Linked DNA regions of Rhinolophus ferrumequinum. Each later gene encodes a partner of the first gene's protein in a complex. Links are inferred from orthologs where the notes say so. Each region holds a gene or a part of one and is shown on either strand. Other genes may lie near its edges.

Region 1 (16,841 bases):
AGGAAAGGTTGGCTCTATTTGGTTCAGCCACCTCAGAGTGGAAAAGGCGGAGTCAGAGCTGAACCTGTGCATGGACCCTGTGTCACAGGGGAGCAACCCTCAGAGGAGAAGCAGCTTCCCAAGGGAGGAGAGAGAAAGGAAGCAGGAAGCCTCAGAGAGAAGTACTGTCCAATTAGGGATGGCTCTGGAGAGAAACCTCTGGGGACAAAACCTTTGAGATAGCTCAGTAGGGCACTGTGCTTTTAAAGTTGCAAGAGACGAGAGATGGTGTAATAAAACTACTTGGGAGAGGAGAAAACTAAGGCACAGAGGAATCTGTTAAAGGTATATATTTTCTTTCTCTGGTAAAGATTCTGACAACAGTGAGTGTTGTTGGAATGCATTCTTTTAATTAATAAAGACATTGTACAATGTAAGAGTTTTATAGCACATTTGTCTTCATTCAATAGAGTTCTTAGTCATCTATGGCCTGGATGTGGAGCCACAGTGCTAATCATACACTGTAAAATATAGAGATCAAGATACCATTCACATACATAATTTTAGCATTGAATTAACTTTTTATAAGGCAATAGCAAGCCATTTTCCAGTCATCTTGATCAGTGCAAGTCTGCTCTTTCCTGATCCCCTTCCTCCAAAAAAAAGCCTTATGAGAGAATACATTATGGAATAAAATCCTCAATAGTTTTAAATTTTTGAACAGTTAAATTTTGAATACCTTTCATATTCATCAGAGACAACTCTTAGAATCTGAATAGATCAACTAATAGATTCAAAGACAGTATCCCATTCTGTCTTCTGGTATTTTTCATTGTCTTGAGTTTAGACCAATGCTAAAATCCTTGTAGATGGATTTAGTATTTGCAAAACAAGAAAGCATCAGTTATTTGACTAAAAAAAATATTTCATTATATAAATATCAGAAATAACATGTAGAGGATAAAAATATAAACATCTAACAAAAATAGTTGGTATATAGGTCAAGGTTCATTGAGGAGACAAATCACCTAGTAACTTGAACAGGAAAGGTTTAATACAAGGGATTGGGGTATTAAGGGATTGGCTAGTAAAAATTAAAGAGAACTCTACCGAATGTGGGAAGAGCAGAAATCAGGAGCAGCCAGTACGCCTAGAGCTGAGATAGAGCACCCAAGGAAAAAGCCTCCCACCCCTGAAGCTGAGATGCAGATGTCAGAAAAGGTGTAGCATAGCTCACTGGATGTTGAAGTGTCTTGCTTCTGGAATTTGCTGGAAAGCCACCAGAGGGATGACTGGGGAAGTCCTTCATGGGAAAATGCCCTGCCCAACAGCGTTCTGCTGTGAAGCTGCCTGAAGGGGCTCTGGGGAAAGCTGGTCACCAGGTGCCTCCGGCCAGTGCTCATGGCAGGAACCGGGCACTGGAGAAGCCGCTCACACTGCAGGGGCCTGGCACTGGGAAATCCACCCCATACTGTAGGAGTTTGACCCTAGAGAAATCACAGGCCTCTCTCTGAAGTTTACCAAAGATCGTTTTAACACAGCTTAGAGCTCTTTGTCAGATCAACCTGAATAAAATCTGCTGACAATGTATTAACACCTTCTGCATATTACACACTTCATGTATTTCAATGTCTTGAGAGATTTTAGGAAAAGTTTGGGTTGAATTTGTGATAAGTACATAGAAATCTAAGCAAATGAAAAAAACATGACAAAGTATTAATTCCAGACAAAACAAAAAGTTTTTTAGTATAGGTCAATTATAATGTATATAATCCAATAAAGCAACTAGAAGATTCTCCATGTTAAAATTTCAGTCAAGTAATCTATAACCATTTTAGTAAAAATAAAATATACTAGAGTTAGAACAAATTCCTAACATGAAGAAAACAAAATTTCCATATGAATGAACAACCTTGGAGTTCCAATTTAATTTAATTTAAACCAATTTAATTTCTGAAATTAAAAGCTCTATATGTTTCATAGTGTACCTGAATTTAAATATTTTGCTCTGTGTAGGAGAAATAGATTAAATTAATAATATGTACTGATTACATATGTAAGGAATAATATTACTGAAAAAGAAAAAAATCAAAATATTTTCTTATGTAATTTATTGGTTATTGAAGGAAACCACTAAAGCTATATAACGGCTCAGTTTTTCAGAGTATATCCTCTTGATATGTTTAACATAACTTGTAACACAGCTGTATCATTGTAAGATTCTTTCAGGAAATATAAAATATTTTAAAATATTTGAGGAAAATATTTTACAATGGAGACCAACCTTCCTTAATTTTAAAAATGTTTTAGATTTTCCTTATTTAAAAGCATTTAAGGGTCATAGAACAGATATAGATAACCTTTAAATGGATATTGCAAAGGGAAAGAAACCAGTGTGTAAAGACTACATGCTGTATGATTCCAATTATATGACATTCTGAAAAAGGCAAAATTAGAGAGACAGGGAAAAGAGAAGGGTTGAATATATGAAGCACATATTTTTTAAGGTAGTGAAATATTCTGTATGATCCCGTATAGTAGATACATGACATTGTACTGTTGTCAAAACCCACAAAACTTTATAGCGTGGAGTGAAACTTAATGCATGCAAATTTTAAAAAATCATTTGGGGGCCAGCCCGGTGGCTCAGGCGGTAGGAGCTCCGTGCTCCTAACTCTGAAGGCTGCCGGTTCGATTCCCACATGAGCCAGGCCAGTGGGCTCTCAACCACAAGGTTGCTGGTTCAACCCCTCGAGTCCCGCAAGGGATGGTGGGCTGTGCCCCCTGCAACTAGCACAAGCAACTGGACCTGGAGGTGAGCTGCACCTTCTGCAACTAAGACTGAAAGGACAACAACTTGAAGCTGAACGTCACCCTCCACAACTAAGATTGAAAGGACAACACCTTGACTTGGAAAAAAGTCCTGGTAGTACACACTGTTCCCCAATAAAGTCCTGTTCCCCTTCCCCAATAAAAATAAATAAATAAAATAAATCATTTGGGAGGTTGTGGTGTAAGGCCTAATATTAAAACTCCATATTATGTGTTATCTTGACATTGGAAAACTTGGTAGAGCCTAGGATGTCCTAACTGTAAATACCCCTCCCAACTCTGCTCGCATAGGTAAGTTTCTCTAGCTATACAACCCTCCTTACCAAACGGACCAGGCACAGTTATTGCTAACCCCTGAGTAGTGGGTTTCAGTTCACTGGCAGCTTGTAGAATTATCCAAACAGCTAATCACATTCTTTACAGGAACCAGGGGCCAGCCCACCCTCTTGATACTGCAAGGTTGTTCATTCTGATCCTGAGAGCAACCTCCATGTGGCCCTGAGTGATATGTACTGCCTTCTTCCCCTAGGCTGTGAGTTTGTGTGACCAATAGATGTTTGTGTGACAGAAGATTTGATATCATCTGTCCTGTGTTGGGTATTGTGTGTTTTGCCCTCATAACCCTACGGAGGGAATTCCTCCTTCACCAACAAGGTGAATAGGAGGCAGTTAAAACAGAGGTTGGGGGATCCTAGGATGGAATGCAGACTGTGACAATATAATCTATTTGAATTATACATGTATGAAACCACCTCACTGAAAATGGTGGAGGGAATACGTGCTTACCTAAGAAAATGGTGGAGTACAAGATTACCACTTGGAAATGAGTGGGGTCTGTAAGATAAAAGACAAGAGGATCTGTATCAAGCATTGGACTCAAGTTGATAAAATCGTTATCCATAGGGGTAAGGTTAAGAATTCTGTTACTTCCGCAAATACATACTCAAATTGAACAATTAAATAAATGAATGTTAGATAATGGAAGCTAGATTTCTTCCTGTTAGAGTGGGAGTTTACAAATAAGCTAAGGGAAGAGGCTAAAATAATCTATGTGTAATAGATTAGAGTTGGTTATATGGATCAGTATGAAGTCATATTTAAATTAGTATGGATGGGGCTACGAAATACCTGACCAATACACCTTAATAGTATCAAGGTCATCAAAACCAGGAATATCTGAATAATTATCAGAGCCAATCTAAGGAGACATGACAACTAAATATAATGTGGCTCCTGGATGGGATTCTGAAACAGAAAAATAACATTAGACAAAAACTAAAGAAATTGGAATAAAGTATGGACTTCAGTTAATGATAACAAATCAATATTGGCTCATTAATTGTTAAGAAATGTACCACATAATGTAAGATGTTGATAATGTGGGAAACCAAGTCTATGAGAACTCTGTACTATCTTCACATTTTTCCTATAAATCTAAAGCTGTTCTAAAAAATAGTCTTTTAAAAAACAAAAAGTATCTGGGAAACCTAAAGAGTAATAATTCCAGCAAAATAAATAAATGAGGAAATAAGGAACTTAGGGGAAGGAAAATACAATAAATACAGGGATGAGATTGGAATACTAAAACACATGCCTTTAGCAGGTTCATTTTTGTTAGAGGTAGGCTGTAAATTGGGGAGAGCCAAAGTAAGGCTGCTTTGCATGTCTGCTTTTCCAGCACCCTCAGTGGACTCCTGCACTGAGGACAGAGCAGCAGCAGCAGACTGGAGGGAGCTAAACTGGGCCAGTCTAGAAAGGGAGACCACACATCTCTGAAGCGCCAAAGCATAACTCGAATTTTCATTTATCCAAGGTCTGCTCGGAAGGATGTGGCTAAAAACAACTACTTTGATAAGTCACCTGGAGTGGGATAAGACCTCCCACCTCACAAAATGCATGTTTAGATGGCCGGTTACTGCTGTCCAAGAAGTCAGGGCTGGTCACCACAGTGTCTGTTCCCTGGTACACTGTTTCAGCAGTCCTCTTTCTTTCAACTTAAATGTTGAAAAAATTTTTCAAGAATATTGTTTTGATGGGGACCAACTTACTAGTCTGAATAGAGAGCCAAATTATTAGCCTGTTCAAGGTGTCGATGTTTATCAACCCCTTGTATTACCAATTTGAGTAAAAGCATGTTTAACAGCAACCAGAAACAGGGCAGTATAATTATCTCTCCCCCCACCCATGATCTCAATTGATCCAGGGGTACAATTTAGACTATCAGTCTACCCTTCCATCTATTTCCCTTAAAATAGAGCAACAAAGATCAATGTGCCTGATACTCAGTGAATCAACTGAGAGACAGCAGGGTTGACATTTTCTTATTACAAGGACCTTATCGGGACCAACCAACTACACCCACCTAGATAGAGATAGTCCAAGGGAGTCTGTGAACAGTGCTAAGATTTTCCCCAGAAAACAGTTCTGGGCTTATACCATTAAGGTTGAAGCTTAAAATTCGTCATCATGAAGGGGTTGCAAACGTTTTAACCTAAAAAAAAAATTCAAACCAAGAGTTAGGAATCATCTACCCTAGTTAACAATTATCCACAAACTAATTGTAATCACTGTAACTTCTTGGGGACATTCAAACATAAATTGACTACTTTTTTTTTCTGTGTCTTCCATAGGTTTATATTGCTTGCAGATCTTCTTAATTATTCATGTTCTCTAAGGAAGTGTTCTGTCCTTGGATCCCTTAACTCTACAAACCGGGGAGATCTCATCCTCAATCATTGCCCTACTTCATCGGCCATTTGTTTGGTGATGATACCCAATGTGTATCTCTAGACTGACGGTTTTTTGGAGTATATTCCTGGATATCCTTACCTGAATGTCTCTTAGATGCCCTAACGTTATGAATGGATTCATTATTTCTATTGAACCCCTCTATTTCCCATCCTTCCAACAATCTCTCCAGAATCCTAGGAGGTAATTAAGATTTCTTCCTTTCTCTCTCTGTCCACATCAATCTCTGTACCTCGCTAATTCCACTTCTAAATACTCCTAGAGTTTTTCCTTTTCATACGTGGTGCTTGCCTCCTCATTTCTTCACTCGATGATTGCAAGTCTCCTGTTTTACCACCACTTTGGTCTTGCTCTTCTCCAGTATATCTTCCATACAAAGTGAGTTTAAAAATATATTTTTTTAAAGTTAATTTTTTTTGACTCTGTAATATATTCATAAGGTTTGAAAACAAAAAGTTGCAAAAGGATACACAGGAAAGTCTGCCCCTTGTGCTGGACTTAGTCACCCAGGTTCCCTTGCTAAAGGCACCAATAGCCATCAGTTTCTTTGGTAAAGAATGTATTTCTAAAATGCATTGACTTCACATCCTCCCATGGCTCATCACTGTAAGATAATGACCAAATTGAGAAGCGCACATGAGGCCTTTCAGGATTTAGTTCTGTTTACCTCTCCTTTCTTCTAAGGAGTCGCTGTGTACATCCAGATTTCATCCCCTGTAACCACTTGCTCTTCTCCACAAAGCCTAAGACTTCCTTCCCTGTGATTTTGCATATGTTGGTCCCCTTACTTGGGATGCTTCCTCCAAGTTCCCCGATACCCCATACCACGTTTTTCCTTGAGTACAAAGCACCATGTCTAAATACTCCCTTAAATGGATTCAAGTTCAAACTTTTGTGGACCTCCACTGATAAAGGTTATGCCCTCCTCTCATAATGCCCTTTTAGGACCATACATATATATTTTTATTATAGCACCTATGATATTGCTTTGCCTTGTTGGAGGCAGATACTGTGAACCTTTGCTTTTTGAGTCCTCAGAGTCGAGCAAACTGCCTAATGCCTACCTGGTTGTTGTTCAATAAATATTAGTTACAATGTAATGACAACTAAGCTAAGGAAATATTAGGCTGCATTAAAAGCAGTGTAGTTCTCAGAATTTTTAGTTCTGGACACCATGTTTAGAGATAGGCATTGAGGAAGTGTAATATCCACTTGACAGTGCAGGGTCTACTAACACTGTGACAGTCTTAAGAAAAGACTAAGGACTCACATCTCCCTTAGAATCTCTGAAGGGCTACAGAGCAAGCAGCTGACAAGTAACTAATGCTCCTCCGAGACCGGAGGTTCTCCACCAGCGATGGGTCCACCTGGTTGGTAGTCTTCATCAGCACTGTGATGTACTGCAACTTATTTGTGCTAATAAAAGCTGAAGTACTGAAGTATGAAAACTACTTTTTCCCCTCCTCTTAAACTCGAGTAGATTCAAGGCTACTTCTATAATGTCACTCCTGCCCACTTACATTCCAATATACTTTGCTTCGATAGTGGCAAAGCTGCAACTGATGGGTCCTGAAACTGGGTGTAAGCCAGTCTACCTTATCTTTGCTTTTACCCTGGAAAATGTTGAACATGTGAATATTATCTATCCTTGGGGAGGGGAGGGGGAACTGCCATCCCAGATTATGAGCTCCTCCAGGGTAAGGAACATGACTTTTCATTTTCTATCTGTCCACAGTGTCTGGAGGTTAACAGATGCTGGGAGAAAAGAAGGAAATGAAGGTCTAGACAATGGATCAATGGGAGAATTAAAGGAAGAGAGAGTGGAAGAAAATGTGACAACAATTTTTAAAAAAGAATGAAGGAAAGAGATAAAGCAAAGGATTAAAGGCAGCTCATTACTTTCTTAGAAACTGTTAACCGGATTCAGTTTTGAACACAACATAAGAAAAAAGAAACAGCAATAAAAGTTGCTTAAACAGACTATGGGAGATTGGATAAGATGGCTTCTAAGTTCCTATTCAATTCTTTGATCTATGATTTTAGGTTTTGTTTCCCCCAACAATGCTTTTGAGTAAATAGTGGTATTTAATGAATATTTATTAAATAGAATTATAATCTAAAATAATACAAAAGCAGAAACAAACTGATGTTTCTGCTAAAATATAGTCTATATTACTTTCTTAATTGGGTCTTCAAAGTTTCATAAAGATATTGGCAGTGGGTTTTCAAAATTCAACTTCAATTTGCTCCCTGGTAAGATGCTCTGTGGCTTAATTGGCACCCTATAGAGCTGAGATACCTTTTTTTTTTTCCCTTTTAGGTTAAAAGAAATAACAGAAACTTGCTGGGCTAAATTCTAGACATGATGCAAATTTAAAGTTAATTTAAGATGCTATTTCTGGTGGGAAAACTTAAAAGTTTTTTCCTCTAAGAGAATCCAGAGATCTCTTTCTGCTTTGTAGCTATCCAAAGAGCCTGAGCTGCAGAAACTCTCAAGGCAAATGGGTAAAGGTGAAGAAACCAGAAAGCAAAAATTACAACAGTAACCACTGCCTGCCCACCCCTCCCCCGCCCCAAATCTCACATCAAAGATTTCTTAACATTTTTGCCCTTCAAAATATGTGCTGTTCATAGTAGAGTAGGAACTGATGATCTACCCAAGGAGAGTTGTAACTGTTCTCTGCTTATTTTATGTAATTCTAAACTCAAATGCTTTTGCTTCTCCTGCAGCACCTTGCTTGGATCAAAGCAGTTAAAACATGGTACTTTGATGTCATAAACAGAAAGTATATAAAAATCAGGAGAGTTGGGTAACTTTCACTAGAAAAAAAGGTGATATTTTTAGTCTTTTACTTTTTATACTATTTTCATGATGAGTTCAACTCTGCCTGACACTAGCCCAAATGCTATGACACTGCAAAATTGAGATCCTATAAACTGTTGTTGTTGTTTTTTTTGGGGGGGGCACTTGATTTTTGTCCATGTTAGGGGATTATAATTGACTAACAAACTCACTTAAAAATTCTATTACAAATAAGTATACTTTCTCAACTTCCCCTCTGATATGGCGTGATCCCATTTGTATTGATAATAGACTAAATCTTACTCATTTCTAGTACAATAAATATTTGTCAACTGATCTGGTTGATGCAACAGTAATCCTTGTTTTCAGTTCAGTTCAACTCTGTATTTTACTGATAATCTAAAATAGTAATTCCTATACATCTCAGGCCCCGAACACAAATACGTATCCCTAACCTGTTCCTTCCGACAGAGTTTGCTTTGGGGAGGAAATTTCAGGAAAGCGTCCAGCAGGAAGAGAGACCGGCAACGTTACTTGAGCTGTCCAGGTGCCCAATAGTAACAACTTCTGGTTCACAGTAAAAATAAAAAGAGACGCTGGAGACCGGGAGGGAGGGAAGACAGGAGGCGATGGAAACTATCAAAGATGCAAGTGACAACTCCCAAAGGTTTCTAGATCCCACCGCGAAGGGAAAACCAAAAGGTTTGACGACAGTGGCAGTGCGGTATCTCCAACCAGGTTCCAATTCGCGCTGCACGAGTAACAAGCCGTCCATCTGCCCTACCCAAGCGGGCTTCCCCGTGCCCATCTTCCCGCTTGGAATCACAAGGAGAGCGGCTCCCCCACCCAGAGTAACACTTAGACGCAGAGAGGAAAGGAGCCAGGGGGCTGCCGCGCAGGTGGGCGGGCGCCCCAGGCCGAAGGGATGCAGGGCGAGGAAGGGGACACCGGTGCCCCTCCTAGCGACCCCCTCCCGCCCCGCCAGGGGGAGCGTCTGCGCCCGACGGCGGGCGGCGGGGCCTCCGCGGGCTGCGCAGGGCGGCGGCTCCGCGGCGCGGCTGCCCTCCCGCGTCCCCACCCCCTCCCCGCCCGGCCGCCCGCCCGCCCCCGGCGCGGCCCTGCCCGCCCCCTCCGCCCCCCTCCCGCGGCGCCATGCGCAGACTCAGTTCCTGGAGAAAGATGGCGACAACCGAGAAGCAGAAACACGACGGGCGGGTGAAGATCGGCCACTACATCCTGGGGGACACGCTGGGAGTCGGCACCTTCGGCAAAGTGAAGGGTGAGGACCCCCGGGGCAAGCCACGGCCCAATCCCAGGACCCAGGCGACTTCCGCTTTTCACACCTCTTCATCCTCCCCCGGCCCCTGCGTTCCTCGTCTCGGGCTCCGCAGCCCCGGTCCTCCCGCCGGCGGGAGCGGAGCCCAACGCGGCCGCCGGGCTGCGGCGCGGCCCTCCCGGGCCGGGTGGGGGTGGGGTGGGGACCGGTCACCATGGCGACGGCGGCGCCAGGGGCTGGTCCGTGCGAGGGGCGGGGATGCGGAGGTGCGAACTTTCTCAGGTGGGCGGTCGGGGGCTGCGCGGCGCGCTCCGAGTGCTGGGTGGGGGCGTCGGGGTCTCCTCCCAGAGCCCCGGGGAACAGAGGCTGTTCTCCCTCCGCTCAGGACCAGCCCATCGGTTCCCTGGCATTCTTTAGCATTGTCCTTATTTCTGTCCTCTTTAGAAAGGCTGTCTACTCACCTGTTCAGGCTGATTCTCCAGTGTGAAATCTGTTAGCACCAAAGTCTCGGGGTAGCTTAGAGAATCATTTAAAAAAAAAGAAAAAAAAAGCCATCTTGTCGGAAAGGATAACTAATTTTTTTCGGAGCAGTTAATGAACATAAACTGGTCCAATACTTGTGATGCATGGTTTATATTCAGAATGCAGACTCCGTGCCTTTAGTGTGTCTGAATTACCAGTTTTGCAGTCTGTATGCCAAACCCGGTAGTTAGTGCAGATGTTGCCTCCAGATAGTATATTAGTTCATTAATGCAGCTCCTTTCCATGTGTTTTCACGGGGTATTTATATTTTAATGAACAATTTAGTGCACATCGTTTGATTTTTTTTTTTTTTTTTAAGAAAAGTGTGGACTCTCTTACCCTTGTGTTTCAACACGGTATTTGAAAATAGCAAACTTGCTCCAATCTACCAATTGTGGCACAGGTTTAATTGCAAACTTTGTGACGCATAATTTTTTTAGGTATTTGACTTTTTTATTAGGGATGATGCAAAGGAAGGAAATACGGAGCTGATAATAATTCATGGAAAGGCTTTGAATAAATAATAGTGTGTGACTTGACTATACTAAGCGCTAGGTAAATACTTAAAAGAAAAAAAAGTTTGTGAAAATCTGTACAGTGAATTAAATTAGTCTTGCTCTACCAGAGCTAAATAAACATTTTCTGATTTTATCTAGGGATGGAAGAGGAGAACCCTTCCTTCTCTTGTCCTTTCTGAGTCATAGAACTGGAAAATTGCTGTATAGCTCACAGGAAGCAACTGCCTAAACCTTGTGAAAAATCAGCAAGGCCTACAATGTAAGAAAGTAAGAAGCAAATGCCAGAATAGGGTAATCACAACCATTAGGGTGGGTCTGTATTAGGTCAGGAAGATGTTTCTGTGTCCTTGAAGTTACTTATTTTGGCTGTGCTGTCTCTATTTTTATGTTAGCGTTTCCAAACTTTTCTTTTAATTTACAAGTAGGTACTGTGTTTCCCCCAAAATAAGACCTAGCTGGACAAGCAGCTCTAATGCATCTTTTGGAGTTAAAATTAATATAAGACCCGGTATTATATTATATTATATTATGTTATATAATAAAGATATATAATGTATTTATATATTATAAAGATAAAACATATTATATAAAGGTATAACACTATAATATATATTATAAAGGTCTTTAATGTAATGTAATACTGGGTCTTACATTAATTTTTGCTCCAAAAGACGCATTAGAGCTGATTGTCCAGCTAGATCTTACTTTTGGGGAAACACGGTATTTGTAAGAAATGCTCATTAATGCCCGCAACATAGTGATGACAATCTTGATGTCCACCCCTCCCAGAGTTCTGCTTGGATTAGGATGCTCATCATTCTCCTAATACAGATCTGAGCAGAGTCAGGTCTCATTTTCTTTTTTGCTAGGTGGCTTTTGGCATGGCAGATAGGAAAGCAAGAGGAAATTTTTTTGTTTTCTGGATTTGATCTGTGATGTGGCTTTGACATGAATCCCTCCAGTGACCGCTGTTCCTTAACCTTCACTCCTCCACATGTGCCTCTGTTGAAGTGTCCCACACACTGTCAAAGTCAGCAACCTCTCCAAATGTAGCAAGGACAACAGTAGTCAAAGGATCATAGGTTTCGTAGGTATGGTTCAATTTGTTCATAAATACATTAGTTGATGTCGGTCAAAATCCTCAACCAGTGCATTTTTTAAGTTGTTAAATAGGTAGGATGCTTTTTGCCCCACGTAATAGAAAATCCAACTCAACCTAGCCAAGAAAATCTCTTCCCTTGGTTCTCTCCAGAGCAAGGAAGTCCCAGCGTACCTCTCATGAGTCTTGTTGGTTTATCCAGTCCCTCTGGCCTGGGATGCCTTGTGCCAATGGCTTAGGCCTGTGTTCCTAAGTAGGCCCTAGCAAGGGAGATGGAATTACCCTTGGGGGAATATGGCCCACTCTTGGATATATGTGTGTGTGTGTTGGGGGGAGGGCATTTAAAAAAAATTATTTTTCAGTTGCAGTTGACATTCAGTATTATTAAGGGCATCTTCTTCTGAGGTACTTGGATGGTGTGAGGGGACAGGATAGATACCTACACAGAAATGGGTATTAATTATTAGGAGAGAGACGGGTACATAGATGCTCAGTGAGCAGACAAAATTAGCTAGTTTACTGGTGACATTGGTATCTTACACTGGCCTTAATTTGGTAAGAATTTTTATGACTAATATGATTAGCCATATATTTCAATGGAGACAATTTGGAGTAGATAGAGCTTTTAAAACTAAATATATTGGTGAATTAATCATAGAAAAGAAATCTAGATGTGATAATGCAATACAGAAAAATTCCCAATGTAATAGTCCACGCTTAGAGGAAATTTAATTTTTGGGAAGGAGTGGACTGTAAATTCATAGTGATTATTTTTTTCCTGTTACAGGCTTAAAAAATCCTTTGGTAACAATAACATTTTGAGGGGAAAGTTTAAACAGACAAGTAGGGTTAATTTGGAATTATGCTTGAATTCTCCTGTTTTACTTCTAAGGTATTGTTTTTTTCTGGTTGTCAAGGTGTTAGTCTCTACTCTCGTGCTGGGCCATTCCCCTTTCCTCCCAGGTAGAACAGTTACAAAAGCATGAATGAACAAAGTCCTGTGACTACTGCAGTAAATTAAAATGGCACTTTTGGTTAATTTTCCAAGAGAAGAGAAGGCTGTCTTTTTAGTAGGGTGGGTGGTCTTTGGCAAAGAAGTTGTTTATACATAGAACCTATTAAGTTGGTGAGTATTTCTACATAAAACTGCAATTTCAGGTAAATAGGTGACTGTTCTTTTTGTGAATGAATCACAGTGGAAGTTATTTGCACATTTCTTTAATTAAAAACATCTGTATATGCACTAGAGCTATATATATATCAGCATGAGTGAATCTCAAGTATGTAAGGTTAGGCCACAAAAGCATAAGTACAAGAATATGTACAGTCATGTTATTCATATATATTTAAAAAACATGCAAAAACACTCATACATTGCTGGTGGGAGTATAAATTGGTACTGCCTCGATAGTGTGAAAGTATTTATTAAAATTAACCCAGTTAATTCAACTTCTAGGAATTTACTCATGGAATTTATTGGGCTCACACAATAAAGCCCAGGAAACTGATTGATATAGTGCAGACCATACCCATGTATCCGAAGGGTTCTTTTTTGCCTGAGTAGCAGGTAACAATGTGGGAGATGATTCGAATCTGGGTAAAATGAGAATATAGATTTCGGGGTGGCCAAAGAATCAGAACAGATGTTGGTACAGGATAGTGTCTCCTCCTCCTGAGGGGGTCAGAGAAGGTAGTAATTTAGGTTGCTGTCGGTCAGTAGTATGGTAATTCCGGCGGCCAGGATGGGAAGGGATAGCAGAAGGAGTACAACTATAATTAGGACAGACCGTGCGAAGATTGGTGTTTGGTATTGAGATAGGGCGGGGGGGGGGGGGGGGTTTATGTTAATGATTGTAGTAATAAAATTGATGGCCCCTAAAATGGAGGATACCCCTGTCAGGTGGAGGGAGAAGATACATTCATGCTTGTGAAACAATGAGTTATTCGTTGCCATATTGTTTATACATGCAAACGATTGGAAGTAACCTTTCTAATAGGACAATAGTTACGTTATGGTTTATTAATACCGTGATATACTTTGGAAACTAAGGAAAAAAAGCAAGATACTTTATATATTTAGAGAGTAATTTCCAAGGTGTATTTTAAAGAGGAAAAATAAGGGGGTAGTAGAATAGTGTGTGTAGTATACTTACTGTATATATAAAAAGCAGGGCAAATATGTATCTAGTTGTAATTGCTTGCAACTGCATGGAGTGTCTTTTTAAAGATACACGTGAAACTGTTACACTAGTTGTTCAGGAGAGAACCAGGTAGCAGGTATATTTCACTGTATATCCTTTTGTACTTTTGAATTGTGTATTGCAAGTATTATGTGTTCAAAAGAATACAGAAAATTAAATTAGAAACATAAATATATGAAAAACAATGTTACTGTATTGTTTATGGATTCATTTGTGGGAAAGACAAACACCACATTCAAGATAGTGGTTATCTCTGGGGAGAGAAGAGGGAGAAAGATCTGGGAAGAGTCCTGCTGAGCTTCAGTTATATTTATACTGTTTTGTTGCTTAAGCTAGTGGTGGGTGAGACATGGGTACTTGGTTTGCCTTTTGGGATGCCTGAAATGTTTTGTTAAGAAAAGGTAGCATGCTCAAATTTCCACCTATAGCTTTTAAAGTTTAACTCCTCTCCAGGATTGTGTTTTCCATAATACTTTTATAAGTGAGATTTGTATTCTTTTAATTTTAGAATGGGAATGAAATCATTAGGTTATTTTAATATCTTCAGTAGATATTTTTGTCTTTGTGACATCTCTTTACTATTTAAAATCCTCTCTTTCAAAGTATGATCTTGTTTCACTTCAGGATTACATATCTGATTAGAAAAGCATCTGTTACAATGTTTTACAGTTTGAAAAAGTTCCCTTTAGAGAGCAAGAACAGGTTGTTACTACCGTGTTCCCTCCTCCCCCCGTATTATATTATATTATACTTTATTATATTAATTATATAAGATCTGGTCTTATAGTAAAATAAGACCAGGTCTTATATTAATTTTTGCTCCAAAAGACACATTAGAGCTGATGGTCTAGCTAGGTTTTATTTTCGGGTAAACACGGTAGCTAATATTTAGTTGACTAATCTGCTGTGATGAATTCTGGTAGCTTTTCCTATGAATGATATACAGATCTTACATGGCAGAAGTATCTGTCTTCTATTTCGTTCAAAAGTAGCACCTTAGCACTGCTGTCACAGTCACAGTGTGCAGAATACAATTTTGAGTTTTGGAAAAGGGGGAATTCTCTTAGTAATGCATATTCCTGACAAAGTCCATTTACGACATCGATTGACTGTGGAACAGCAATTAATTTGGCTGCAGCTGAGTTTAGTCAATGGAGAATCTTGAGTGTAGTTTTGAGGAAAGAGTTCAGGTGTTGCTGTTGTGCCAAGCCCTTTTTCCCCTCTCGTGCACAGTGATGGTCGGGTATAGTGGATAGGTCAGAAGACTCGGAGTCAGAAAACCTGTCCCAACGGAATCACTTAATAGCTTTACCTCCACAAATTGCATCATCTCTCTTTGTCTCATATTACCTGCATCATAGGTTTATTGTGAGGCTCAAATGTGATAATGTGTGTTTCCTGAGCTATAAGACACTGTATTTTCAAAAGTATTATGCTACTGGAATTCTAATATTGAAATATTTTAGTAATTGGGATCAAGGCAAATATTTCTGTTCCTATAAGTAAGGAAAACATAACAGATTATCATCATATGATGGCCTTAAATTACCAAGATTGCTGGGAAGAAAGAGGGAGGAAAAGAATAGTCAGAGGGATACTGCCTGTACTGAAAGAAAATATTGTAGTCATCAATGTTGGGACATTTGAAAACCTTGGAAGGAAAAACCTGTATCCAATTAAGCCTGGGAAATACCAGGTTAAACAAATTTTAACAGGATTCTCTACTATGGGGCTTTTCAGAGCCTTTACTGTGTTAATATGCATAGTGAGAGTTTCCAAAAAAGAGAACGTATGTCCTTTCCCAGGACGTAAGTCCTTTCCCAGGACAAAAAGATGATGAAATCTTTTTCTGTGGAGTTTCCAGTACTAGTGTTTGGTAGAGCATACTTTAGAAAATCTATTATAATTTTAGTTTTATGACTTTTCTAGCCCATAGAAAATTAGAATCCCCAAATTAGAACACTGAAGAGGGGGCTGTAAGAGTTGACTCCTGATAGTCTGTGAATGATGAGGCACAACTTCAGAGAGCAGAACACCACACGCTGGAACATAGTAATAGTCTAGGAGCGAGAAGTCCTATGCAGGTAAGTAACTCCTATGGATGTCACTGGGTGAGGGCACAGGGGAGTAACTAATGCTCACACACGCTGAACACCTGCTTGGTTCTGGCGTCATGTACAGTGTGTTCCATTGAAGAATACTTAGGCATGTGTAGTACAGTATAGAAAACCTGTTTTCAAAAATACTACTACTTTTGTTTGCTTGTTAATGGTGAATATCATATTTTAGAAAACTCACTTATAAACTGATAAACTTAACTGTATTCGTTTCCTAGGGCTATAGTAACACAGTACCACAAACTGGGTGCCTTAAAACAACACATTTATTCTCTCTCAATTCTGGAGGCCAGAAGTCCAAAATCAAGGTTAGCAGGGTCACAGTCCTTTTGAAGGTCTAGGAGAGAATCTGGTTCCTTGCCTCTTCCAGCTTCTGGTGGCTGCTGGTGTTCCTTGGCTTGTGGTAGCAAAACTCCAGTCTCTTCCTCCGTCATCACATGGCCACTTTCTCTCTCTCTCTCTCTCTCCCCCCCCCCCTTCTTATAAGGAAACGAGTCATTAGCTATAGTGCTCACCCTAAATCTTGAATGATTTCATCTTGGGATCCTTAACTAATTACATCTGCAAAGACCCTATTTCCAAATAAGATTGAATTCAGAGGTGGTGCCAGGTAGACATGAATTTGGGGGAAGGGGACACTATTCACCCCACTACACTTGCCATTCTATTTTGTACGCTTATAATTTTATGCTCTTCATTTCTCCTTAATAATGCCTTAAGTTTTGAGGAACTTTTAAATTGGTTTG
Region 2 (15,875 bases), on another chromosome or scaffold:
CTCGCTTCAAGCCGAGCTGGAAAAACTGCAAAGCTCAGGCTTCGAGTGAGGCTTAAGGGGGTAATCCCAAATTGTGAGCGCCACCAGCCAGAATAAAACAGAAGATAAAGCAGCCTGTTTATACACAGGCAGTGGCCAAAACAGGTTATACGAGGCACCGCACCAGCCCATTTCAAAACGAAACAAAACTGAAAACCTGACCTCTAAAGACTCCATCACTCTCCGGTTCCTTTCCAACTCTTGCTTGAGTATCTCAATTATACAGACAAAGAAGCTTCTAGAAGTCCAGTGTTTCTTAACTTTAAGCAGCAGCTCACTCAGTGATATTTGGCCAGCGGGAAGGGACCGAGCTGTTAGTCCAAGGACACCTAGGATGGGGCTGGGCGCCTGATCCTTGGGCTGTCTGGAATAAATCTGACACAGCCCGGCTCTGCCAGTTCCTTCCACATCATTTTCTAGAGAACCGGCTCCCTTCACATGACCCAACCGTATCACAGCAGGAAACTGAGAAAAGCATGAAGTGCAGAAAACTGAGCCATTAGGAGTAAATATACATTTTAAGAAAGTGTCTTTTCAGAAGTCTACAGAGAGCCTGAAATTGGTTTGCCAGCAGTGAGGGGTCAGTTTTCTTTTCCCAGGTGATCTATGCTGCAGAAATGTGACTAAAAGCTTTGGTATATGGCCTCAAATTATATTTATCGGTAAGTAGAGGATATTTGGGCCTTTCTTCTATTCAATGCCCACCTATCTGAAAAAGAAAGAAATGATTTCTTTAAAAAATTAGGCAACTAGCCAGACAGAAGAACGTGGTTTTTGGCATTCCTACTCAACCACCTGACTCGTCAGCCACAGCAAGCCCACCAAGGTCGATTTCCCACTGATTTCTGAGCTGAGAAGAGTAAGGGATGCTGCTGGCAGAACCTCCAGGGCTAGCCAGGTGACACTGAAGAATCATCCTGTAAACTCAACTGAGTCCATTTCCTTAGACTGGCAGGCAGTCCTGGGCAAGCTTTGCCCTGCCTCCTATAGGGGTCCAGGAATTGCTTAACCCCCGCAAGAACTGTTTAAACCCTGCAGTGCAACTGCTGTTGACACTTCAGATTACAACACATCCCTGCCCCTGAACTGTACGTATCATGTTTCCAGGCAGTTTCTTCCTGTGGGTTTGGATGGAAAGCAATTTACTGGAAGGTATGTGATTGGATGACTCTTAAAAGAGGAGGAAGTTTAAGGAGGCCTGCACTGAGCCGGCTGTGCTATGTAGCCTTTTTCCGTGGTGAGCCTTTCTCCCAACAAGGTGCTAATGTACCACACAAGTGACGGCCAAGGTCACAGGTGTCTGTTTATCACCCGTCAGGCCGAGTACCCCGAGTGGGTTGTGAGCAGGCAGGGAGCTGGCAGGCCTCCCAGCACTGGCTCACCACTGACCCACGGCCACTCCCGGGCCTCTTGGGCCCTGACCCGGCCCGAGACCAAGCTCTGGTTCCGTTTCAATGGTCTGCTCTCTGAATACTGGAGATGCCCCCTTCACCCCCCCCAAAAGGACTCACTACCCCCTCAGGGCTAGATTTCAACGACCTGACCTGACACAGTTAGGAATCAGTTTTGTGGCACTTTAGGGAGCTACAGACGTCCACCCGATTGGGCAGCTTGAGCTCAAGAGTGAGAGGTGAGAGAAACAAGAGTATGTCTAGACTGCGCAGCCCCCACCTGCACACACGTGGTATAAAATAACTGTTCATACCAGACACATCGGAGCACTTTTGGGAATCCACCATTAAAGCATCAAATACTTCAAAGTCAGTTTTCTTCACTTGAATGATGTTGTTAACTGTGCCAAGCTGGCTGGTTACTATTGGCTGGGAAGAGACAGACAGGCAGACGTCATAACGTGGAAGGCCTCTGGGTTTTTCTTTGGAGGACTTATAATTCCGGGCTGGAGGGGCTCAGCTCCTGGCTAGCCAACCTGCCCCTCTCGGGCAAGTATGCCAGGGGTCTGACAATCAGCGCTGCTGTCTAGCTCAGCCACACAGGGACTTTTCCCAGCAGGACAAAGGGACCTGGCGAAGATCTGTACGGGACGGTGACTTGTTTGGCTTATACAGACCGAGGGCGGGAGGAAGAGTACCTCAGAAGGGTCGTGTGTCCACTGACCGTCCACGAAGAACTTGTACTGATGCTCTCCTTCCGGCAGATCCAGAATGGCTACAAAGTTATTGTGGCTGCGAGGAAAAAGGAAGCGGAGGTTTTCAGCGGGGCAGGCTGCCCCCTTAGCTTACTTACAGAACCAGCCATAGAACAAAACTATTCCACGTAAAACCCAGAGTTCAGCTGCAGGAGAATAAACATTTTTAACCAATTCAGACATCTCAATAAAATGATCTCAATCTAGAAGACGTACAAAGCTGCAGCAATGCAAGAGATTTTCTTGAAAACTTACTTTGCTTCACTACCAGGAACCCACAAGCCTAGGTCAATCCACATCGAAAGGTCAACAAACAGCTACTTGTCCTTGTCAACTTGCAAGCGAACCACCACCTGGCAGACTGGATGCCAAGGAGGCCAGCAACACAAGATCAACGGCCTGCTGCCAAGTTTTACCCTGTCAGTTTGCCTTGGGCAGGAGAGGGGATCAATTTAATGGATGCACATTAAATAGTTCTCCAAAGAAGCTGGCAGAACTACTAAAGAGGTTCCAGAAAACCTCTTCCATTTGACTGTTTTGTTGCCCTGACTTGAAGTGACTTGTAACTGTACCCAGCAGCTCCCTCCACACTAACGTTAGCGCTAGAAAAGCAGGCAGGCCCCTGACAATGATCAAGCCTGGCCCAGCAGGGAACGATTTCTCCGTTTCCTCAAAGTGCTCACTAGTGAAGATGCTCCTTCACTGACAATTTCAGACAGAAGTCCATGCTAGGCTTCCCACTAAGTTGTTTTACTGTGTAGTCCTGCTAACGTTGCCTACGTAACATGTACCTTTCAAAGTCAGAAGGAACCTCAGAGATCACCTGGCCCAATATTCCCTCTTACAGATAGGAACACTGAGGCTCAGCTTAGCTCTGCCAATGTGGACTCAAATCCCGGCCTCGAAGATCCCAGCCTGGTGCTCTCTCCACTATACTAGGAATAGATTTCTCTCTCTCTGAAGAACAAGTCCTGCCTGAACAAACACACAGCAGACTATCTGAAGCAGAAGATGTCTGTGAAACAGAAATACTTGTAACCAAGAGATGTTTTCTCTAAGTGTGCTCTAAACCTAGAGAGTACTATGGGTGTGGGATCTGAACCCTATGAATTATTCGGCAAGATTATTTTTCCATTCAGCATTCATTTTATAAAAACATCCCTTTCCATCCACGTGCAGAGATCATTTAGAAACAGAATTATCTCTGGGTTAAGACATGTATACTCCCCGGGCCAATTACCTTCTTGTGAGGGGAAGCTTACTCCAGTTGTTAAAGGTCCCAGATAAGTACACTTCCTTTCCGCCCCCCGTCCATCGAAATACAGTTGGCCGCGCCTGGGCAGGAGCTTTATCATTCACTTCCAGATCATGCTGCCACGCCAGGAATTCTTCCTTCTCTGGAGCCTAGAAATAGAGCAGTTTACTCGGGGACAGGAAGTCGTTAGTGAGCTCCTTACACAGTTACCCCAACACTGACAATTCATTTTAAAGAGGCAGTGGTTACTGCACAGGATCATATTCAGGCTTGTTCACTGACCAGCTGTGCCTCAGTTTCCCCACTTGCAAAATGGAGATAACAGAAACTATTTAAGATTATTGTGAAGATTGAGAAAGTCCACAAAATGCTCTGCATAGTATCAGACACATAGTAAGTGTGTTACAAATTATTAGCTACTCTTGTTACTAAAAGAGGGCTACCTTAAGATTCTAGGAGAAACTATAAAACTCACTTGGAAGAAGGCTGCAATGAATTCAAAACTAGCTTAATAAAGGTCATTTTCTTCCCTTTATTAGGCAAGATTTGAAGTACATGAAAATTTATGAGGGGTAATTCCAGAGGTGTCAGCTTGAAAATTGGCAAATCCAGATTCTAAGGAAGGGAAAAACTATTCACTGAGTGTCGTCCACACGCTGGAGAAAAAGACTAAGACAAAGATTGACCTTCATTATGGTTAAAAAGGAACTTCTAGGGTAGGAAGTGATGTGTAACTGAGGTGTTCCAGAATAAGAGAAATAAACACGTTCAACTCGGGGTGAAATATATGTGGCTTTGGATCTTTTACATTTTTCCGAATCAGAAGGCAAAGACTTTAAAACAGCAGGAATTCCAGGATGGGAAAGACCCTTGAAGGTGCCTAGCAGCCTTCGAGCACCTTTACTCCAAATACTGACCTGAGCATATCTTAAAAAATGCCTGCATTCTTTGAGCTTAAAAAAGACCTACAGATTTAAGAATAACAGACCAGAATCACTTTCCACCGAGGATGTGCTAACTAACCACAGCCAAAATGGTAAACTAGTGTAGTTAAAAGAATCCATGACTTTTTTTTTTTTTTTGGCTATCTGGGGCATTCTATGCAGTGTCTCTGCTACACCATTTCAGAAACTTCTGAGGAAATGATAACGGACTATTGAAACTCATTCTCCACAGATTTTCTGTATGCTAAACATTTCTTAGAGGAGTTTTGGAACAGCAACAGAACAACAAATATTTCTTGAAGAAAACAGTTTCATTTTTATGATGTTTTAAACAGCCATCCTTGGGCCAAAATGATTTCTCAGGGAAGGGATGTCAAGTCGTTGGAGAAACAGGATTTCAATTGCACACAGCTCCTCAGGAATGCAACAGGTTCAGAAAGAAGTTCAATCACAGGATGGAAGGCCAAGTAGAAGCAGACTCTTTATATTAGAGCCAAGAGCCGAATGAGGATGTAAGAAAATAATGTGATCGCCCAGCCCAACGTCTAAGAAAAAGTGTGAGTCAAGTTGGAATGATTTGCCAGGCAATAAGCCTAATTAATGGACAATGATGATTAGTGTACAACTGAATACTAACAGAGAAAGTGTTGGGCTGAGTGGGAGGGGTGGGTATGCACCTTCATTTTCCCTGAACCTACTTTGTTGCATTGTCCTTAAGGAATTTTTTTTTGCTTTTTAGGCTACACCACATTACACATCAGCTGCCAGAATCATTAAGTGTCCTTGGACCAGGCTTCCCAGTTGGAAACAGACCACATCAGGTGGTTAACAGGAAAGTGGCTGAAGCAGGAGTCTAGAATCATCTTCAGAGTTTTTGATAAGTTAACGCAGACTGCCGCAGGAGGCTCAAATTTGGCCAAGCAAAAAATGTTTGCTTTGGTGTGTTTACAATATTAAGTCATTGAAACAACAGGGGAGAGAAGATGAATTGCCAAGGGGCCGCCTCCTTCAGACTGACACTTCACTTACCCGCTGACCCCCAGAAGTCCAATGACTTTTCTGTGCCCGCTCTAAATAAGCAGGGCGAACCAAAAATATTGGGCAGAACTAAACACCTCTGGTGGGTGCTCTGGTTTATCTCCAACATTGACAATAAACTGCAAAAACAACTATTACAAAAACTGCCAGTCTTCCTAAAGGTGAGGGACGGTTTCTCAAAGTTGTCAAATTAGAATACCCGAGAGAGAAAAGCAGAGACCGGGGCTATTACTGCTAGCTCCGCGATCTTAATTAAGAATTTGAAACTGTCCCAGAGCCGCCCTCTCCTTAATGATGTTACACGCAGTTCCTCCTCCCTCAGGGTGATTTTCTCATATCGGTAATTAGACACTGGCTCCCGGGCTACGAGGGATCTCACAGAGCCATCTGGCTTCTAAGCGCAGAGGGTGAAGTATCGCCTCCCTCCCACTTCTGATGATGAGTTTCAGAGGGGTTGTGGCGGGAATCGGATTCCCCCACCTCTCCTCACCTTGATTTCCTCCGAGTGGAAGAGGTCGGCGTCCTCAGGGCTGTCCATCAGGATCTTGGGCCTGTCCCCATCCTTGGCGCCCCCCGAGCTGTCCCTTCGGGGGGTCTTATGGCCGCCTTGGCGCTCCAGCGCGGCGCGCTCGCTGCTCGTGTTGCCCATGGCGGGGGGTCTACCGGGACACCAGGAAGCCGGACTTCACTCCAGGCAAAGTACAGGGGACTTCCGGAATCAGGGAGTCACAAGGACCCTAAGGAAAGAATCGGAGCACCGGGTACCGCACCGCTTGGGTTAGGGTTCCTGGCCGGGATCCGGTTTGAGCCGGATCAGCACCACTGGCAAGGTTTCACCATCGTGCCTTTACCTGCTCGGGTAGCGGAGGCGCGAGCTCCTGGAGCGCGAACATAACCCGACAGTCTCCCCGACAACTCCCCCCACCTCTTAGCAACTTCCGCTTCCGGCACTTCCGAAAAGGGGCGGGGCCCACGGGATAGTTTGGGCCGGCGAAGCGCATGAGGCTAAGTCTCCCTTATTTCCGTTTCCGGTCAGGATTGGCGCGGTCGCCGGCGCCGTGAGGCGGCCTCCTTGGGCCTCGGAGTGCGCAGTCGCAGTTGGCAGACCTAGCCGACCCAGAACGAGGCTGCTGAAGGCCGGCAGGGGGCGCACCAGCGCGCCGACCGTCTGGGCCGCCCTCCCCGCGCAGGGGTGAGTGATGCTACGGTATTTAGGGATCTTAGATGTCTTTCCCACTTCCAGTAGGTTCTAGGCTGTACAGCCAAAGGGCTCGTTGTAAAGGGCAAATCTAATTAAGAGACTCCTTTCGTTAAAGCCCTGTAATGCGCTAGTTCTCACACCGTTGAGTGCCTTAGAATCACCTCGAGTGTAAAATGACAGACCATAAGATTCCTGGAAGTTTCCCGTGTCTCGCTTGGGGGCTGTAAAATGTTGGAGTTATTAGTGTATTTTTTAAAAAGTGAGTGCACAGCCATTTTAGAGGTAATTTTGCAAGATGTTTTGTAATCACTCTGAACACATCATTCTGCATAAAATGCATTTATTTATTAGCGCTTGTCATTTACTGTAGCCAGTGCTTCAGCAAGTGTGTAAACATGTGGTACTAAAATATTCTACTCTTATCACTGTCATGGTTTCCTTGTGTGGGGGTTTTTTGTTTGTTTTGTTTTGTTTTTGCCTGTGAGTATCTCAAAATGCGTTGCGTTTGCTGGGCCTGGTCATGCATTTTGTCCGCTGAACAAACATTTATTTTGTACCTACAAAGTGCCAGACATTGTGCTAAGTAAATGGGAGACACAAATGACTAAGATGTGACCTCCTAGAGGGGAATTCGGCAGCATCTATGAAAATGAAAAATGCACCTTTATTTTGGTGCACAATTTTATTTATAGGAAACTTCTACAGAAACACATGAAAATTATATGCAAGCGCGTTCATTTGTAGCATTGTGTCTAGTGCCATAATACATTAATTCTGAGATGCACATTTTAATCTCTCTGAAACTGGGTGCTTCTGACAATCAGTGGAATCTTAGGTTTGATGAATTAAGGAAGTGAAAAGCTGCTAAATCCTAAAAAGTTTGTCAGCAGGAGAATGGCTTAATGAATTAAATACTCCATTTTATGGAATACTGAGTAAGCTTTGAAAAGGAAGAAATAAAAAAATAAAGCAGACAGAATATCACAAAAAGGGGAGGGGAAAAGAAAAGAGGATTACATGGGTAATAATGGAGAAGTGCCTATGACATTCCAAATCCCAAAAGCAAGTGGAGGTTAAGAGTCAGCCTGCCTCCGTTCAAATTCTGGCTTTATCACTTAGTAACCATCATCTTGGTTTCCTCTCTTGTGAAATGGGGAATAAAAATATCACCAACCTTATAGGCTTGTTTTATGAATTAATTGAGAACATGCACAAAAAGTGCCTAGCATAGCACCCGACTTAGTAAACATTCAATAAACATTAGCACTTTTATTGGCCTCATTATGGTTGGCAAATTGGAAGTTCTGGAAAGATGTACAACACGCTGTTAATAGTGGTCCCCTCTGGGAAGAGAAGCGGATTGGAAAAGGAGCAGATAGAAAGGGAACTTTCACTCTTCAGTTTATTTGAAAACTTTTCTATCTTAAGGATATACTGCTTTTGTAATTTAAAAACAAATATTAGAAGACCAAATAAGACATGGTTTCCAGCCTGAGAAGGATCCATAGAGTAGAGGTGGAAATAGACTCGCAGAAAGGCAATAATACAGGTAGGCCAGGGGTTCTATGGGAGCCCAGAAGGGACTCAGGCTAGGCCAACGGGTAACCCAGGATGCATTCTTTGAGCTGTTTTTCTTGCTCATAATAGTCAGGACATGAAAATGATGAGTTTTGGGGTCTCTCCCACACAACTTGAGAGATAAGGAAGAACACATGAGCTGTACACCCCTAATCTGAGCTATGCAGATGCTTTCATGCATGAAGAAAGTTTCAAGACTTCTGCTCTGGCTTGGATAAGATAACTGATATCCCATGGATGCTTTCTGTGTTTTTTCAACCAATGAGACAGCCCAGTAACTGGGGCTGTGCAGGTGTACCCCGCATAGGAACGCCTCCCCAAGGAGGCAAGTAGTTTCTGAGATTCCACCTGCCTGGAGGAACGGGTGCCTTTTCCTAATTTGGACAAATACACCATAGGCACTAGCAGTGGCCCTGGCCTCGATTAAGTAAAACAAACCATCCCGGGGCTGGTCCTAGGACAGATGGTAGAGGTGTACAGTTTATCCTTTTCCAATTCATTTTATGCACACTGTCTAACAAGACGACCCCTCCACCCCAACCATCAGAATCTAACTGGGTCATGACACTTGTTCTAGTTAACATTTAATTTTTAGAGGCCTCCAGTTTTCTAACTTCATTAATTCGTTTCTTTATCCGTAATTATGTATGGTGCAACTACTAGCTGCCAGGCATTGTGGTAGACCTGGGGATACAATGATGGGCAAAACTAGACCCACATTCCATGCTCGTAGTGTTTATGATCTAGTAGGGAAGCAATAGTTAGATACGTTAGTCGTATAATCATCTAACAGTCATGTGTGACAAATACTAGGAAGGAGAAATATGACCTAGTGAGAGGTATGTGACTTAGTCAGGAAGTGAGGGAAGGCTTCCGGGAGGAAATGACAATTAATTTGAGATTTGAAGACTGCAGGTGTTAACAGTGAAATTTGTTTATCAAGCCCTATTATGTGTGTGGCATTGTGCTTGGTATATCAACTTGTAATCCCCCAAGAGTCCTGTGAGGGATCTATTATTATTATCACTTGTATTTTATAGATGAGGAGACTGAAGCTCAGAGAGGTGAAGTGACTTGTTCAAGGTCACACAGCTAGGAATTCATGGGAACCAGTATTCAAACGCAGGCAGCCAGACTAATGCAGAAATGTGGGCATTATGGATAGAACATTGAGTGAAGGGTGAAATTATTTGGGGCAAGCCAATGGGTCAGGCTGATTAAGATTATAAATATAAAGCTGGAATGGTCACTCAGCAAAGAAGTCAAACTAGGTGATGTGTTTTTTTGTTGTGTTGTAACATCTATGACTTTTATAACTATGGATCCATGTTTCTAATTTTTACAAAACGCACTGACATCTGAAAGGTGGAGGTCATGAATTGCTTGGTGTAAGATACTAAATCAAGTAGGTGGGATAACATATTAAATAGCGAATAAGGTTAACAGCAATGATAGTGATCGTGGCAGGCAATGCCCCCATCATCCCCTAGGTGGCAATAAAGAGCAATGAAAAATATTCCCACGATCTTCCAAGAACTTATATGTCTACATTTTTAGGTATGAATAAACATGGTAAAAACTTCAAGTAGCACAGGAGGTGTTGAATAAAAAACAAAAGTATAAAAAACACCTTATTCTAGATCCCTATTTCCTTTCCCCCAAAATAACCTGAGAGTTTCTAGTATACTTTTGGGGGGCCCCGTTTGTTATAATTATGTAACTTTTCCCAGAAAAAATGTTTGCTTATATCTCTCTCATTTAAAAAATGGACAAAAAAAAATGGACACAGTTGGGACTTTTTCCCCCTCAATATATATTTCCATGTCAACACATACAGATCTCCTTCCTTTTTTTTTAAATGGCTGCAGACTCCATAACAGTAATAGTTGACATTTATAGAGTGCTTACTATATTCTTGGAACTGTCCTAAGCACTTTTCTTGTTTTAACCCATTTAATCCTCACAAAGCCCAACGAGGTGCATTCTATTATTATCCCCACTTTATATATGAGGAAACTAAGGCACGTGGGTAAGTAACTTGCTCAACATTGCAAAGCTAGTATGTGGTGGACCAGCATTTAAATGCAGGGGACTTGACTCCTGAGTCTCCACTCTTTTAACTACCATGCTAAACTTCTGTAGCATACATGTATCAAATGTGACTTAGTCTCTATATTCTCAATACTCTCAAAAAAGTATTTATCTTTTAAAAACTGTGCTAAAATATGCTGCTGTAAAATATAGCCGGGATTTTGATTTTGTTCACGTGTGGTAAGGCCAATGGATCAGGAGACGACTGCTGTTGAAAAGATAGTTTATTCCTGTCAGTTCCCGGGAGGAGGGGGTTATGCCAGTCCTCTCAGGGCCACAAGAGAGAACCCTGAGGTTGGTTGCAGGCAGAGTGAGGGGACAGCATGTGCAAAAAGCCCTCATTGTGGTTTCTGAGCAAAAGAATGGGCGAGGAAAGGCAAGCAGCTGAGCACGTTTGGGATTGGATAGTCTGAATAATTTTGGTGGGCTCTGGGCTGTACGGGGTGGTCCCTAGTGCTCTGGTACCTGGCCCTGGGATGATAAGGACAGAGGCCTCCTGGAGGGTAAAAGCCAGAGAGAGGAGGTGGTTCAGAGTATGGGCTCTGGATTGGTTGGCTTGCACATTCCAGGCAAGTCATTTACTATCGGTAGAGGTGGATTAACCTTGGGAGGGGCGATCTCTCCCTGGTCACTGAGGCCCCAAGATGTCAAAGCATCATGAAATATAGAAAATAAAAAACATGATTAATACATGTACATAACATAAAATGTATCATTTTAAGCATTTTTAGGTGTGCCGTTCAGTGGCATCACGTCCATTCACATAGTTGTGCAACCGACAGCACCATCCATCCATCTCCAGAACAGTTCATCTTGCAAAACTGAAACTCTGTGCCTGTTACACGATACCTCCCCATTGCCCTTTCCCGGAAGTCCTTGACAACTATTATCCTACTTTCTGTCTCTATGAGTTTGACTATTCCAGGTACCTCATCTAGGTGGAATGACAGTATTTGTCATTTTGTGACTGGCGTATTTCACTTAGCATAAAGCCATCAAGGCTCACCCACGTTAGAGCAGTGTCAGAATGTCCTTCCTTTTTAAGCGTGAATAATTCTCCATTGTGTGTGTATACGCATTTTGTTTATCCGTTCATCCATGGTTGGACTCTTGGGCTGCTTCCACCTTTTGTCTATTGTGGATAATGCCGTGATGCACGTAGGTGTACAAATATCTCAGAGCTCTGCTTTCAGTTCTTTTTGGTATATATCCAGGAGGGGAATTGATGGATCAGATGGTAATTCTGTTTTTTAATTTTTTGAGGAACTGCTGTACTGTTTTCATCATGGCTGCCCCAGTTTATATTCCCGCCCACAGTGCACAATGGTTCCAGTTTCTCCACGTCCTCCTATATTTTCTTCAGAAGTTTTATCATTGTGGATTTTACATTGAGATCTATGATCCGTTTGAGTCAGTTTAGATGTGTGGTGTGAGGTGTGGATTGGGGTTTATTTTTTGGAATATGGATGCTCAGTTGTTCCTAGCACCATCTGTTGAAAACACTCTATTCTTTCCCCCATTGAATTCCTTTTGCACTTTTGTTAAAAATCGATTGACCATAGATGTGCAGGTCTGTTTTTCAACTCTTTTGTTCTATTCATCGCTGTGTCTATCTTATCACCAATATCACACTTTATCGGTAACTGTAGCTTTATTGTAAGTCTTGAAATCAGGAAGTATGAGTCCTACAACTTTGCTCTTCTTTTTCAAAATTGATTCCGTTCTTCTGGGTCTTTTGCCATTGCATATAAATTTTAGACTCAGCTTATCAGTTTCTGCAAATAGTCCTGTTGAGATGTTGATGAGGATTATTGTCTTTTTATTTATTCACACATTTAACATTTCCAGTACTTTTTATTTTTGTTCATAAACACTAATTTCCATTTGGTTTCATTTCCCTTCATCCCAAAGGACTTCCTTTAGCATTTCTTGTACTGCAGATCTGCTGGCAACCAACTCTCTAAGTTTTTGTTTAGCTGAAAATGTCTTTATTTCACTTTCATTTTTGAAGGATATTTTCCACTGGAGCTTGACAGTTCTTTTTCCTTTCAGTATTTTAAAATTGTCATTCCACTGTATTCTGTATTCCATTGTTTCTGATGAGAAGTCAATTATTTTTACTATTGTTTCCATGTATGTAATGTATCTTTTTTCCCTCTGGCTGCTTTTTATATATTTTTTCTTTGTCGTTGCTTTCCAGCAGTTTGCATAAGTGTATTTTCCTATGAATTTATCTGGATCAGGGTTTTTTGAGCTTCTTAAATATGTGGGCTGATATTTTTAATAAAATGTGGAAAAAATGTAGTTGATATTTCTTTAAGAATTTTTAAAATTCTCTCTCTCCTTTCCCCCTCTCACCTCCCCCCTTTGCCTTTCTCTCTTCTATTATTTAGGAATCCAATTACATATATGGCAAATGCTTGATATTGTTCTACAAATCACTGAAGCTCTATTTTGTTTTTAAATCGGTTTCTTGCTCTCCTTCAGTTTGAATAATTTTTATTGATTTATCTTTAAGTTCCTGATCCTTTGTTCTGTACTGTGCAAATGCTGTTAATTCCGTACAAATAATTTCAGAATTGATAATTCTCAGTTCTAAGATTGCCAGTTTTTCTTAGTTTCCATATGTCTCCTGAAATTCTCCATCTCTTCACTCACTATATTAATCTTTTCTTCTAGATTCTTTAACATATTTATCAGTTGTTTTAAAGCACTTGCCCACTTATTTTAACATCTGCATTATCTTTGGGTCTGTTTCTATTAACTTTTTTTCTCTTGACAATAATGCCCTCCTGCTGCTTTACCTGTTTAGTGATTTTTAAATTTTGTACTGGACATTGTGGATAATGTATTGCAGAGACTCTGGGTTCTGTTATCTTACTCAGAAAAGTGTTGGGTTTTGTTTTACCTGGCAGTTTAATTGCTAGTGACTCATCTTTATATGGAAGCATAATTTTAGGCTTCATTTGTGTGGGTCAATTTTGGTTTTTCACCTCCGGGGCTACCAAGCTCCTCTCATTTGGTGGAACTTGAACTCCAAACTCTGCCTCCCTAGCAATGAGCAGCTGCTGAAATCTCTGCTCACTTCTTTAAACTTTCTAGCTTTTTTTATCCCCCTGCTGGGCTGCACATGTACACTTTAGGAGTCAGCCAAGGATTTGAGGGGAGTTTAAATTCCGATTTTTGGGCCCCTGCTCTGTGTCTCTATCTTTTCTGGAATTTCTCCTCTCAATTTCCAGCCACCCTGGGAGCTCCAAACCACAACCTATGATTTTTCCGCCCAATAAGACTGTTGCTTTCTGCTTGAGTTTTATTCTCTGTGTGCTATGCAGACCCTTCAAAGAAAAGACAGTGGGTGATTCCCTTTTTTCAAGGGTCATTTGAAAGAACTTCCTTTCCAGTTTTTGCATGCTGTTGGTTGTTTTCAAGGCCGTCCATATTTAAAAAGGTTGTATCCTGAGTTTGTAGCTGTATAGGCATCAGACTCAGTCCATTATAATTACTCCGTTACTGGAAGCCAGAGTTCAACAACCTTCCTTCCCTCCTTCCTTCCTTCCTTCCTTCCTTCTTTCCTTCCTTCTTTTCTTTCTTGTGTTTCTTCCTTCTTTTCTTTCTTGTGTTTCTCCAGGGCCCATCAGCTCCAAGTTGTTGTCCTTTAATCTAGTTGTGGAGGGCGCAGCTCACTGGCCCATGTGGGAATCGAACTGGCAACCCGGTTGTTCAGAGCTCACACTCTAACCAACTTAGCCATCTGGCTGCCCCTTCAACAGTCTTTCTTGATGGAAGTTTTGTTTCTCAGCTTGGACTTTCACTAATAACACTACCATTGTATAGCAACCTGACTAAGCCACATTTCCTAGTGTAGTTTTGTGAGCAAAATAGTGGGAATAATTCCTAACAATAGAATCACTAGATCTAAGAGTACATACCTTTAAAATTTTGCTAGAAATTATCAAAGTTATCCCCAAAAATATTGCAGCAACTATGTTTGGGACGACTGTTTATCACACCCTTGTCAATACTGAGCATTATTACATTTCTAAAATTTTTTTGGAAGCCTGACTAGTAAAAATGGTATCTCATTGTTTTGCTATGCATGTGTTGATTTATGAGCAAGGTGGACCAACTTTTCATTATTGATCATTCTACTTATACTTTGCCTGGGTACAAAAAAAAATCTTATTTTCATAATAATAAAATTAATAAGAGCTAATATTTACTGAACAACTCCAGGTCCTGACTGGATAACCCCATTCTTCTTGCTACAGAAGTTGTTTCGGGGATGGGCATATGCCAACCTGGATTCAGGCCTGGTCCTATGACGTAGATATTAACAGTGAGAATGAAGAGTGGGGCTTTTGTCTGATATTTTGGGGTAGAGGCCTTCCTTCTCCCAGGATATCAATGAGGAAACTTTTTACCTTGAGGCCCCCCCACGCAAGACGGAAACCAGTTTGAGAACAAAGAATAATACACAAAGGAGAACAGAACTGACAGAATTAAAGAGAAACAGAGCCATAGTCTGCTGACTTCATGATCTGCTGGAGAAAATCAGTCTTGAAGTTTGTCCTCAGTCTGAAATTTCCCATTATGAAAAGTGGTAACTTCTCTTACTGTTTATGTCAATTCGATTTTCTGTTGCTTGCAACCAAGAGCATTCTAAATCATACGCTCCGATTAGCTCGGATTTTTAAACAATAGGAATGCAGTTGTTTTCTCTCCCATGGATATAAATTATTGAAAATAAATTTCAGACATAGAGGTGAGACCTCAGAGCTTCTTAAATATCTGGTAAGATTCCAAACAGAAAATATGTTGTAATTAATGCAAATCTGCCCCCAAAAGTTCAGCCCACACACATTTATGTCAAGCATACAACTAATTAGGGAAAATGGGTAACAGGCAATTAAGTGATTTCATTCTCTTCTGTGTATAAAGTAGTCTTGTTATTTTTTTCTTAGTTTTGAATAAACTATAAGAGTCAGTTTATGGTTTATGGGAGTTAGTCAAGTGTAATGATTAAGAACATGGATTTTAGGATCACATTGATTGGACTCAAATACTAGCACTGTGCAGTTGTGTGACCTTGAGCAAGTAATTGAACTTCTCTGTGCCTCAGTTTCTTCAAAGGCAAAAATGAATAGTAGTGTTTCTAGCTAGAGTTATTAGTGACAGTGGAGTGAAAGTGTATTTTGAGGGCTTAGCACAATACTTGGCAGTTAACAAGCCATAATATTTGCCATAGTATTATTTTTATAGTTACCTACATTAAAAAAATGATTAAGCAGCTTTTGGGGGGCAAAAGAGCTAAGTCTAGAATTGCAGAATATAGAGACTGAAGAATAAAGTTGGACTGAGCCAACCTTTGTGGAAGCACAGTCACTAGGACTTTTACTATCATATCTGCCTTTGGTGTTTCTAAAAACCAGACATGAATAATTGTATCTACATTGCTTTTGAGAATTTTGAGAAGGCCTGAAGTAAGTCCTAGAGTGATCTAGCCTGGTTCAAAAGCAACAGACTATACTTGAGTATTTTGAACTGGTGCCTGCTGGCAAGCCCTGCCATGGTTGGGAGCCGAGG

Evidence for each region.
Region 2: the proteins of PRKAA1 (region 1) and PRKAB1 are in contact, whole or in part, in a crystal structure (PDB 6C9H), measured with the Homo sapiens proteins. The link is inferred for Rhinolophus ferrumequinum from reciprocal best matches to the Homo sapiens genes PRKAA1 and PRKAB1. Residues at the interface, in NP_006242.5 of Homo sapiens: Gly20, Val22, Lys23, Ile24, Thr32, Lys40, Lys42, Asn59, Arg60, Ile63, Arg64, Val69, Ile72, Arg73, Ile76, Gln77, Val93, Ser95, Thr96, Pro97, Ser98, Asp99, Ile100, Phe101, Met145, Met175, Ser176, Asp177, Gly178, Glu179; in NP_006244.2 of Homo sapiens: Pro79, Val81, Arg83, Leu103, Pro104, Thr106, Val113, Ile115, Asp159, Phe160, Glu161, Val162, Phe163, Ala165, Leu166, Met167, Val168, Asp169, Ser170, Gln171, Arg201, Ala202, Pro203, Pro204, Ile205, Leu206, Pro207, Pro208, His209, Leu210.

Annotation. Positions count from the first base shown.
Region 1 is NC_046290.1:27,135,161-27,152,001, reverse strand, and holds the start of PRKAA1 (5'-AMP-activated protein kinase catalytic subunit alpha-1), read left to right. Parts: upstream 1-9,514; coding exon 9,515-9,641; intron 9,642-10,816; exon of another isoform or gene 10,817-10,937; intron 10,938-16,841. UniProt on the Homo sapiens protein: Catalytic subunit of AMP-activated protein kinase (AMPK), an energy sensor protein kinase that plays a key role in regulating cellular energy metabolism.
Region 2 is NC_046308.1:12,605,892-12,621,766, reverse strand, and holds the start of PRKAB1 (5'-AMP-activated protein kinase subunit beta-1), read right to left. Parts: upstream 6,384-15,875; 5' UTR 6,274-6,383; intron 6,160-6,273; 5' UTR 6,072-6,159; coding exon 5,913-6,071; intron 3,590-5,912; coding exon 3,426-3,589; intron 2,223-3,425; coding exon 2,129-2,222; intron 1,860-2,128; coding exon 1,745-1,859; intron 1-1,744. UniProt on the Homo sapiens protein: Non-catalytic subunit of AMP-activated protein kinase (AMPK), an energy sensor protein kinase that plays a key role in regulating cellular energy metabolism.